3 linked regions of the Canis lupus familiaris genome follow. The protein of the gene in region 1 interacts with the protein of each later gene in a biochemical or structural test. Links are inferred from orthologs where the notes say so. Each region holds a gene or a part of one and is shown on either strand. Other genes may lie near its edges.

The links.
Region 2: of the proteins of PRKN (region 1) and SEPTIN5, one has a biochemical effect on the other in vitro, tested with the Homo sapiens proteins (2 studies listed by BioGRID). The link is inferred for Canis lupus familiaris from reciprocal best matches to the Homo sapiens genes PRKN and SEPTIN5.
Region 3: of the proteins of PRKN (region 1) and SNCAIP, one has a biochemical effect on the other in vitro, tested with the Homo sapiens proteins (3 studies listed by BioGRID). The link is inferred for Canis lupus familiaris from reciprocal best matches to the Homo sapiens genes PRKN and SNCAIP.

Annotation. Positions count from the first base shown.
Region 1 is NC_049222.1:51,486,048-51,489,696, forward strand, and holds part of PRKN (E3 ubiquitin-protein ligase parkin), read right to left. Parts: intron 3,297-3,649; coding exon 3,133-3,296; intron 1-3,132. UniProt on the Homo sapiens protein: Functions within a multiprotein E3 ubiquitin ligase complex, catalyzing the covalent attachment of ubiquitin moieties onto substrate proteins. Substrates include SYT11 and VDAC1.
Region 2 is NC_049247.1:29,732,652-29,736,400, reverse strand, and holds the start of SEPTIN5 (septin-5), read left to right. Parts: upstream 1-1,291; 5' UTR 1,292-1,364; coding exon 1,365-1,445; intron 1,446-2,069; coding exon 2,070-2,166; intron 2,167-2,273; coding exon 2,274-2,360; intron 2,361-2,633; coding exon 2,634-2,757; intron 2,758-2,843; coding exon 2,844-2,978; intron 2,979-3,167; coding exon 3,168-3,285; intron 3,286-3,421; coding exon 3,422-3,523; intron 3,524-3,749. UniProt on the Homo sapiens protein: Filament-forming cytoskeletal GTPase. May play a role in cytokinesis. May play a role in platelet secretion.
Region 3 is NC_049232.1:12,258,745-12,261,329, forward strand, and holds the end of SNCAIP (synphilin-1), read left to right. Parts: intron 1-108; coding exon 109-179; intron 180-1,198; exon of another isoform or gene 1,199-1,654; intron 1,655-1,799; exon of another isoform or gene 1,800-1,831; coding exon 1,832-1,940; 3' UTR 1,941-1,955; downstream 1,956-2,585. UniProt on the Homo sapiens protein: Isoform 2 inhibits the ubiquitin ligase activity of SIAH1 and inhibits proteasomal degradation of target proteins. Isoform 2 inhibits autoubiquitination and proteasomal degradation of SIAH1, and thereby increases cellular levels of SIAH.

The sequences.
Region 1 (3,649 bases):
TAGAGTATAATCCATGCACTTAGAAATGAAGATTACATAACATGGAAAAGCTTATGATACAACATTAAGTGAAAAATAATCAGAATACAAAATCATATTTCACTGCTTACAGCCATATAAAAGTCAGCCATCCACATCGTCAAGGGTTAGCCCATGTGGAACAAAATGCAGGACCCTTGGCTCCTCCAGGAACTCCCCTCCTCCTCTCCTTCCTCTCACTGACAAGCTGAGCCCCCTCATGATAGTCCCAGCTCATGATGAACCCAATAGCCTGGCTTTGACCAACCACAACCCTGGACTAGAGTCACCACTATAGCCATCAAGTCCAAAGGTTCTTTCCTTCTTATCAACTCCATCTTTTCACAGCACATGTACTTCTTTACCAGTAATTTACTTTTCTAAAATATCCTCAAAATCATCAGTTGGATGGATAATGCCTCCTTTACTGGCTTCTCCCCTCGCTAAGAGACCTACCTACTCAAGCTTCTGTCCTCTGTCCCTTTGGCAATCACAACTAATCCAATGGCTGTAATATTTACCTCTATGTAGCTAGTCCTCAAATATAAAGTGAGCTCCTAAGCAACACAGCTAGGTTCTCAAACGCCTGCTAGACAACTCCACATATATTTCCTTTGGCATCCACTTTTCATGCAGGTTAAGGTTCCTCATTCTTCCTACAACCAGACTGGATCTCCAGACTCCCATTTCTCTGCATGGCACCCTTTTTGCTCTAGCTCTTAATGCATGAAACCTCTGTAAAAATACAGCCCTAAACTCCCTTCCTGCCCAGTCTTCAACATCTCTTCTAGCTTCTAGAAGAACAGGGACTCATACTGTTCTGCAAGTACACTCCATGCTCATTCTCTAACCCTGGGATCTTACTCAAGTTTCAATTCATCCATGAAGTCTTGGTGACTTACACTCAGAAAGATGTGTTTTCTCTACCGTTAAAATCTTGTAATACTTAGTTTCAGCTTCTATATTATGGTTCTCCTGTTTGGCATTTTTATGTTGAACCACATGAAACTGCTAATAGTTTTATGCCATATGGTTTAACCTAATACTTCTGTTGCTTTTAGGGCCCCTAACTAGTCACCACAAAAGCAGGAAATGAGTTTGCCTTTCTTTATGAGCCCCCAGGAAGCCCAGAACATTGGAAGGATTTGTCAAAATGAAAAGAATCTGAATCAATATATATCTTATACATATGAGTAAGGGTTAGGCAGGGCTAGGTATGAGAGATGGGGGGCTATGTTATCCGGCTCACAAAAATCCCCCAAATGAGGAGGTATGAGAAAACCAGAGATGAGGGAACAAACCAGACCACTCTACCCTAGGTGTCAGAGGTAGGGTCTTGTTATAACAGCTACTTGTGACCAACAAAGAATTACCAGATCCTAAAGGTGTTATCACTAGTCCTTACTTGATGGTGTTATCAATAGAGGTGTTAAAAAGATTTAAGTTTCCTGGCTACTTTCAATAAAAGACCAACCCTAAAAGCCCTCAGTGGCCACCCTGTCGGGACCCCTCTCACTCTTACTGCTTTATTCACTCTCCTTTGTCCTGAGAGAGATTCATTCTTCCACTCTGAGAGATAAGAACCTTGCTCTCTGCTTCATGTATATGTTGGTAAAATGAATCATCTGTAGCAATTAGTCTAACCTATCAGCTTAATGGTAGAGGTGAAGAGTTTTAGAACCTGAAACTTCAAAACTCCTGGTAATATAAAATATTTTGGTTCAAGGAGCCGTTTTAAAATCATTTATTTGTGAAGGGAACATTCTTGGATTTAGAGGTTGGCAGGTACAGTAAAAAGCTTTTTAGTTGACTGGAATAAAAAAATAAAAAGCGAAACGCTTTTTTTAGCAGAGGCACTTCCCTTAAAAAAACAAACTGCCTAAAAGCAAAGCACAGCAGTTTGTGCACAGTAACATGTGCCTCCAGCCATCAGCAAAGACCACTGGGGCCAGAGCTCGATTTGCATTTCTATGGCTTCTTTTTGTAGGCGCACATTCTGAAAGCATTTCACCAAGAAGCTGTAAGCATCATCAGGAGAAGACACAATGATGGGATGTCTATACAGGAGAGGCACCAGGTAGCCAGACCCAGCAGCCCTCCTGCGCACAGCAGTGGGCCCCCAAGAAACATAGGTGCAATTAATCTGTGCTGGTTGAGAAAGGGGAAAGCTGTGTCTGATGGGTCCTTCAGCATCCCCTGACCATCCACAGAAGCCATCTGCTCTTTCATGCTTTTGCAAAGCATGACTTCAATCCAGTGAAACGGTATCTGCTGGTATCCCCATCAGATAACAGTGCTCCACGTCTAGGGGAGGGCGCTGCTCATCAGTTCACCTGCTCTCCCCCTCTTGCTACAGAAATCACCCTTGGGAATTAAACACCCAGGTGAGAGGACAGTAGGCTTCATAGGTACCAGAAGCAGCAAGAATGGTGTCAGGAGAGGACAGGCACTGCTTGCTTTCTGACATTTCAGTAGTCTATTCTAGGGATGGTTTTAGGGCAGCTCAGAGAAAATACGCACAAAGAGGGACTTTTGCTCTGTTCCTGTCTCCGTTGGCCGCTAGCATGGAAGCTGTGATTTTGATGGGGTTTTGATGGGGTGGGGAATCTCTCAATGCCTGTCCTAAAAGGGCCCTGAGCCCCGGACCTCCTGGAGCGAGCTGCAGCCGCAGCCTTCCGATTATCCTCCAGGGGTCACAATTGGGTTACAGATTCCTCGCAGTGCAGTGACTGAGCAGTCTGATTTGGAACAATTTATTCGAATCCTTCTTCATTAAGATTCAAATGGAATAAGTAAGGTAGAAATTGAACAGACACAGAAATTGCGCCTTGCTGCTCCTGTAGTCAGTAAACATTTATTCACCAAGCCCAGCCCGTGTGTTCTCTCTCTCTCCCTCTCTAACCCACAGTTGTTCTTCCAATCCTTCCTGCTTGCTGTTTTAATGCATAATTAAGAAGGTCAGAATTAATGAAGCGGTGTGGAGTAAAGTTCAAGGAATCCCCAGGCACTATTTATTCTATTAGATCTCAGGCATGAATGTCAGCTTGGCAGAGGAAGAGGCATAAGCACTGGTGCTGGCTGCATCCCAGGAACCATCCACCGAGGGACACTCACCTGCACTGTCAAGTCATTCCTAAGCTCCTTCCCAGCGAAAATCACACGCAACTGGTCAACCGGGGCCCCCTGTCGCTTAGCAACCACCTCCTTGAGCTGGAAGATGCTGGTTTCAGAATCGACCTCCACTGGGAAACCATGGCTGGAGTTGAACCTGACGAACACTGACCAAGAGATTAGGAGAGAGGGGGGGAAGTGAGCATTACTCAAAGATCAGACGTGGCAACAGCAACATTTCTGTACCAAGTTACCTCTCACCTGCCCTTCAATGAACAGGGTACATTTCCTTTTACTTATAATATACTTCATGCAATGGAGCAACATTTGAAGAAAAACAGGTTCCCCATGGGATTTCCCTTTCATACATCAGTCAGTGACCTTCCCATGCAATCGCTTGCTCCCTTTGATGCCAGTCCTGGGAAACAAAGAGCCCACACAAAACACTTGCTAGACTGGAACTGTGAGGCTCCCATGAGTTTATGGAAGAGATTTGGCTCCGATGGCCGGTAGGAATGCG
Region 2 (3,749 bases), on another chromosome or scaffold:
ATGGACAGAGGCCACTCAGCCAGGGGAGCCAAGAAGGGAGGACCAGGGTGGGGGAGAGCTGGGAGGCCGCCTCTCCCCACTGACACACAGTCCAAGGAGTATGTGTCTTCGTGCGGCATCTCCTTTCCAAGCCTCCCCCCTGCCCAGCTGGTACTGGCTGGTTCAGATTCTGGTGGAGGCCTGGAGGGAGGGTGAGGAAGGGTGTGGTGGCTCAGGAGGTGCCTGTGGGCCCCCGGGGTGGTCACAGGAGGCCAGGGCTACCCGGGCTGGAGCGCTCCAGCCAGTCCTGAGGGTCAGAGCGGCGGGGAAGCTGAGGGAGCCGAATCCGGGGAGGGGGTAAGTTCACTCCACAGGCCTCCCCAGCTACGTCTGCTCGGCGCTGGCGCGGAGTGGTCTGGGCGCAGCTGGGGCCAGGGCTGGCTGCAGCTTCGGGTCTCCAGAGGTAGGGCGGGGAGGCGCCTAGTGCTCTAAGCCACCCTCCCTCCCCCGCTTTCAGCGTCCGCCACCCCCGGGGGCAGGGGCGGTGGGTCCAGGCTGGGGAGGCGGGCTTTGCCCCCACCCAGTTCCCTCACGTCGGGCAGGAGGCCGTGCCGGTGAAGAACACCCCTGCCCCCCCGGGCACCCCCTGCACACGTCCCGGGGGGGGGGCAGCACGGGGGCGTGGCCGTGGGTAGCTGGGGCGCCGCCGGGAGGTTCCCGGGCCACCCGCGAGGACAGGACGGGTGAGCGGGCCGGTTCCCGGGGCGTGCGCCTGGGTCCCGGGAGCGTTCCCCCGGCGCCCTCTGGCGGGCGGAAGCCGCGCGGCGGCCACAACCGCGTCCCCCGGGCCCGGCCCCCGCCCCCTGCCCCCTGCCCCCGCCCCCCCCCGCGGCCGGGCCCACGCGGGTGGTCGCGAGGCCCGGCCCGAGGCGGCGGGTCCCCGGCGAGGCTCCGCCCCCGCGCCCTGCGCCGCCCTGCGCGGCCCTGCCCTCCGCGGCAGCTTTCCGGTGGCTCCGCCCGCCCGCGGCCCAATTTCCAGGCAACAGTTTCCCGGCGACCGCGCGGTCCCGTCCCCCCCGCGCCGGCGCCCGCGAGGCCCCGCCTCCGGTTCGGGTGCGGGAGCGGGCGCGGGCGCGGGCGCGGGGCCTGCGGTGGCTGCGGCGCGGCGGGCGGCTGGGGCGCGGGCCCGAGGGCCCAGGCATGGCACGCACGGCCTCGGGGGGCGGCGGCACCCCGGGCGGGCGACGTCCCTTCCCTGGGCCTCGGCTCCCGCGCGCGTAGCCGGCCCGACAGCGGGGCCTCGAGGCAGCACCGCGCGGGCCCCCTGACGCCCCGCCCCGCGGGCCCGACCGCGTCCGGGTGCGGGTGCGGGTGCGAGCGCCGCGATGGACTCGCTGGCAGCGCCCCAGGACCGCCTGGTGGAGCAGCTGCTGTCGCCGCGGACCCAGGCCCAGAGGCGACTCAAGGTGTGTGCGCGCGAAGTGGGTCAGGGTGCGTGCGCCCGCGGGCCGGTCCCCAGGGCTCTGGGCCGGGCAGGGGCCGGCGGGGCCGCGGGTGGGCAGTGCGACCCGCGGGCGGGGGAGGCTCCGCGCCGCTGTCTATAAATAGCCGCGGCTCCGCCTCGGTGGCAGCAGCCAGCCACCCCCGCGGCTGGATCCCGGCCAGATGGGCCTCCCACCCCCTGGTACACTCAGGAGGGGTGAGTATTGAGGTCAGGGGCCTCTCCGGCTGGGGGGCCTTGGGTATGGCTCAGGGTCGTGGTCCTGGCGCACTCTTCCCCCCGCTGAGGGAGGACACAGCCTGTGCCTGCGGCAGCCAGACATCCTAAACTCTACACACCTTGTCAGGTCCCTGCAAAGCCCCTCGCGGAGGCTGGGGCAAGGAGGCCTGCCGCCCCCCTCGCCAGCCTTTCCAGCACCAGGCCTTTGCCCACAGGCCCTCATCCCCTTTCTGCCATTGAAACTCCCCCAACCCCCCAGGGGACTCTACCCTCTGCCGCCTCCGTGTCTGAGCCAGGTAGGGAGGGAACAGGGCATCAGACTGCCCCAGGAACCCCAGCATGCCCCTGACTTGCCCGCCCCGGCCCCCAGGATATCGACAAGCAGTACGTGGGCTTCGCCACACTGCCCAATCAGGTGCACCGGAAATCTGTGAAGAAGGGCTTCGATTTCACGCTCATGGTGGCCGGTGAGTGGGCTGGACTCCCAGGTGGGGTGGCTTGGAACGTTAGCCAGCTAGGCTCTGTCATAGGGACCTCAGACTTAACCTGACTCTTTCCCTATACCTGCCGGCAGGTGAGTCAGGCCTGGGGAAGTCCACACTGGTCCACAGCCTCTTCCTGACCGACTTGTACAAGGACCGGAAGCTGCTCAGTGCTGAGGGTGAGTGGGCCCCATGGAGCCCTGGCATTGGTTCCCCATCCCCTGCTGTGTGACCCCTCACAGGGTTCCCTTCCAGGTCCACGCCCTGCCCCCGTCTTCCCACAGCATGGGTCTCCTGTTCAGGGTCCAGGAGGAGTGGCCCAAACGCCACCATCAGGCCACGTGGCCAGGGCCAAGACACTAGAACGAATGAGAACGTGGGTCCTGGCTGCCCAGTGGGGTTGGGGCCGAGAGTTGGAGTTACCCCAGCAAACAATGCCCCAACCCCCACAGAGCGCATCAGCCAGACCGTAGAGATCCTGAAGCACACGGTGGACATTGAAGAGAAGGGAGTCAAGCTGAAGCTCACGATTGTGGACACTCCAGGCTTCGGGGACGCTGTCAACAACTCCGAGTGGTGAGGAAAGCCCAGCTGGGGGACAGTGTCTGCCTAGGCTGACCCACCTCCCTTCTGGCCTCATGGGCCCTCCTGCCTCCCTACAGCTGGAAGCCCATCACCGACTATGTGGACCAGCAGTTTGAGCAGTATTTCCGAGACGAGAGCGGCCTCAACCGCAAGAATATCCAAGACAACCGTGTGCACTGCTGCCTGTATTTCATCTCCCCTTTTGGGCATGGGTGCGTAAATGTCCTGGGAACGGGCTCGGGGGGCTGCCGGGCTCCACAGATCCCCACGGCTGTCCCGGCCACCGCCTGTCCACTGTCGGTGCACTCACAACCACGAACCCCGCCCAGCCCAGCCCAGCCTCTCCCCAGGACCCTGCCACCCCCACCATGCCCCTCTCTACCCCTGGGTGCTCTCTGTAGGCTGCGGCCCGTGGATGTGGGTTTCATGAAGGCTCTGCACGAGAAGGTGAACATTGTACCCCTCATCGCCAAAGCTGACTGTCTTGTCCCTGGCGAGATCCGGAAGCTGAAGGAGCGGGTGAGCCTGCCATGGCAGCGGGGCCTGGGCTAGGTCTCTGGGACAGAGAACACTGGGTGTGCCGATCCTGGGTGCCAGTGCCCCTGGCCCTGGGTTCCTGGCTAGCCTCAAATCTGACCGCCTTGCCCTGCCCCAGATCCGGGAGGAGATTGACAAGTTTGGTATCCACGTGTACCAGTTCCCCGAATGTGACTCTGACGAGGATGAGGACTTTAAGCAGCAAGATCGGGAACTGAAGGTGAGCAGCCTGGTGTGGCAGAGGAGGGGACTGGAGGTCAGTTTACACGGGCAGGCCAGGCATCCCCGTCCAGCCCAGTGGGGACAGGAGTTTTTTGTCTGGGCACTAGGGCCTCTTCACCCAGAGCTTGGGGTAGGGGGCACAGTCACCCATGTCCCCACTGGCTTGTGCAGTCTGGGCCCACGTGGTTCATGTATCACGGAGCACTCACCGGGACCCAAAGGCA
Region 3 (2,585 bases), on another chromosome or scaffold:
TTCTGTCTGCTAATCTGCTTCCTTGCGTGCCTCCTGTTGACTGAGTCGTGTGCATGCGCCGAGCTTTTGTTGCATGTTTTCAGATGATGTTTAATTGCACCTCTCTAGGAGATGTACGGCAGCTGCGTCACCCTCTCTTCTAACCTGCTGACCGAAGAGCCTCTGCGTAACCATGCACGGTACGTGGTGCTAGCGGGTGCCTCGGCAGCGGCATGCCTGTGCTTCCAGTAGCCTCACCTTTTTAAATCACAGTACCAGAGCAGCCTTGGCAGGAGCTGATACCAAGAAAGAAGAAAATGCCCCTTTCCCCACCACCACCCCCCCCCCCCCAGTAGAAGCAGCCAGTCTTATAATGGGGCCTTAGAAAGGGACCAAGCGCCCGATTGGCGGGGCTTTATTCCAGCAGCAGAGGAGTCTACTCAGCTTACAAACAGGCTGCGTCTCCGGGTTGACTTTGGCTTTCAGGCTTTGTTTTAATGGAGTCAAGTACCAAGTAAGTATAGACATTAAATTTCCTGTCCCGGGCAGACGGAGTCGATCTCTGATCAGAATCGGAGCTGTGAAGCAGAGTTGAGGTTTTCTTTCGTTGCTGATCCCAGACTGAAAGCTCCTTTCATCACCGAGCGCAGGAGAAGCAGGGCCCTGCCATCCTGAAGTTGCTCTAGCTGAACGCAGGCACCCCCATGCCCCGCGGCGCACCCGGCCCGGGGCCGCCCCAGACAGAATGGTTATGCTTCAAAATGCATGGGCTGTGCACAGGAAAGGATCATCTTCAAAGGTCCCCAGTGGCCCAGGCGCCTCCCTGGGCAAAGTCCTTCTGCTTTCTTTCCTCCCCTGCCCCCCAGGGAAATGTGAATGGCTCGCCCCCAACACCCCCAGAAGCAGGAAAAGGAAGGAGTGGAGGGCGAGTTCCCGCTCTCAATGCTCCAAGACTGGCATCTTGCTGAAGAAACCCCCCAGAATACATTTTAAGGGAGACTGTCTCTTTTAAGTCATTCGAGCTTGCTTTATTTTTTTTTTAAGATTTTATTTATTTATTCATGAGAGACACACAGAGAGAGAGAGAGAGAGAGAGAGAGAGAGGCAGAGACACAGGCAGAAGGAAAAGCAGGCTCCATTCAGGGAGCCCGATGTGGGCCTCGATCCTGGGACTCCAGGGCCGGAGGCAGATGCACTGAGCCACCCAGGTGTCCCTCAGGCTTGCTTTAATATAAGTATTTAAATTAAAAGAAAAATATAGCACACCTTGCGGCACCCTCCCCCAAATCCTCTGCAGTGTTTTTGCAAATGTGTATATGTTTGTCTGTAATGATAAACACACCCCAACGGGGGAGGGGGGTAGTGTTGTGAGCATCAACTTCAGTCCAGAATACTAAGGAGCAAGAAACGTCACTCTTCCCCCCTCCCCCCATCCCTGTAAGTCAAATTTAATCTGCTCCAGCTCTCTGGTCAGCCTAGAGGAAAGCATATCTCAGTCACTTCAGGGAGTACCCCGGAGGTCTCATTAATTCAGTACATCCAAGGAAGCACCTTGGAACTTAGGTATTTACTGGTCACCAGCATTCAGCTTGGGTCAGGCTTGCATGGTGCTGGAGTCTGGGCTACTTCTGGCCACCCCAGGGCAGGGAATCTTGGCCAGTTCTGGGTCCAAGGCCTGAGGTAGGAAGGAAATAGAAAAAAAAAAAAAAATGTTCTTTCCCGTCCCAGATATGGGTACAGGTCCTCCCTCTCTTTCTCTCAACCTCCCCAGCCCCCTACCCTTCTCAGTCTCAGGTGAGCTTGGGTGTGTCCTCTGGTACCTGGAAAATTCTGGGTTTTTGTCCTTAAACAGAAGTCACCAACAGTACCTTCAGGAAAGACAGACCAAAGACTTGGCAGACTCTTGGGAGGGAGAAGAACGCCTCTCATCTCTCGAAGGTTCTCGCGGTACCTGGAAGTAAGACAGCAAGCATCACAGTAGATTGTCCTGCCAGAAATACTTCATCCTGTCTTTTCACAAGCAAAAGAACAAAGCTGAACAGTCCTCTATAAAATAATTATAAAAGAGACCAATTGAGGCTTTAGGGCTACTGAGCTACCCAACCCTCGGTTAATACTTTCTACTCAGTTTAGGGAGCAGTCCTTCGGAAGGCTAAGCTTTGAACCTCAGAGTCACTGGCTTTATGGATTAACAGAGTTTGATTTCAGCGGTAAACAGAAACCCGAAATTAAAAATACTCAGTGTATTTAAATAAGCAATCCTGAACCCTTCCCCTCCCTACCTTATAATTAACCCCTGCTTGATCATGGTTTCAGCTTAACATGTGTTCCAGAGAAAGTGAAGAGTCATCGTTTGCTCACGCTAGAGAGGGGAGGTTTCTCAGATTCACTCACAATTACACAGAGGCAGAGAGAACTGGCCCACGTTCACTCCTTAGATAAGATAAGGAGGGATGGCTGTCATGGAAATGAAGCTCCCTCGGAAAAATCAACACTAGCTGGAGATCATGGGTGTGAAAAACATCTCATTGACTCTAGTGCTTGCTTCCTTTTGCCTAGAGGACCCAGAGAAGGAACATCCCACAGAGAGATACAATATAAAAAGG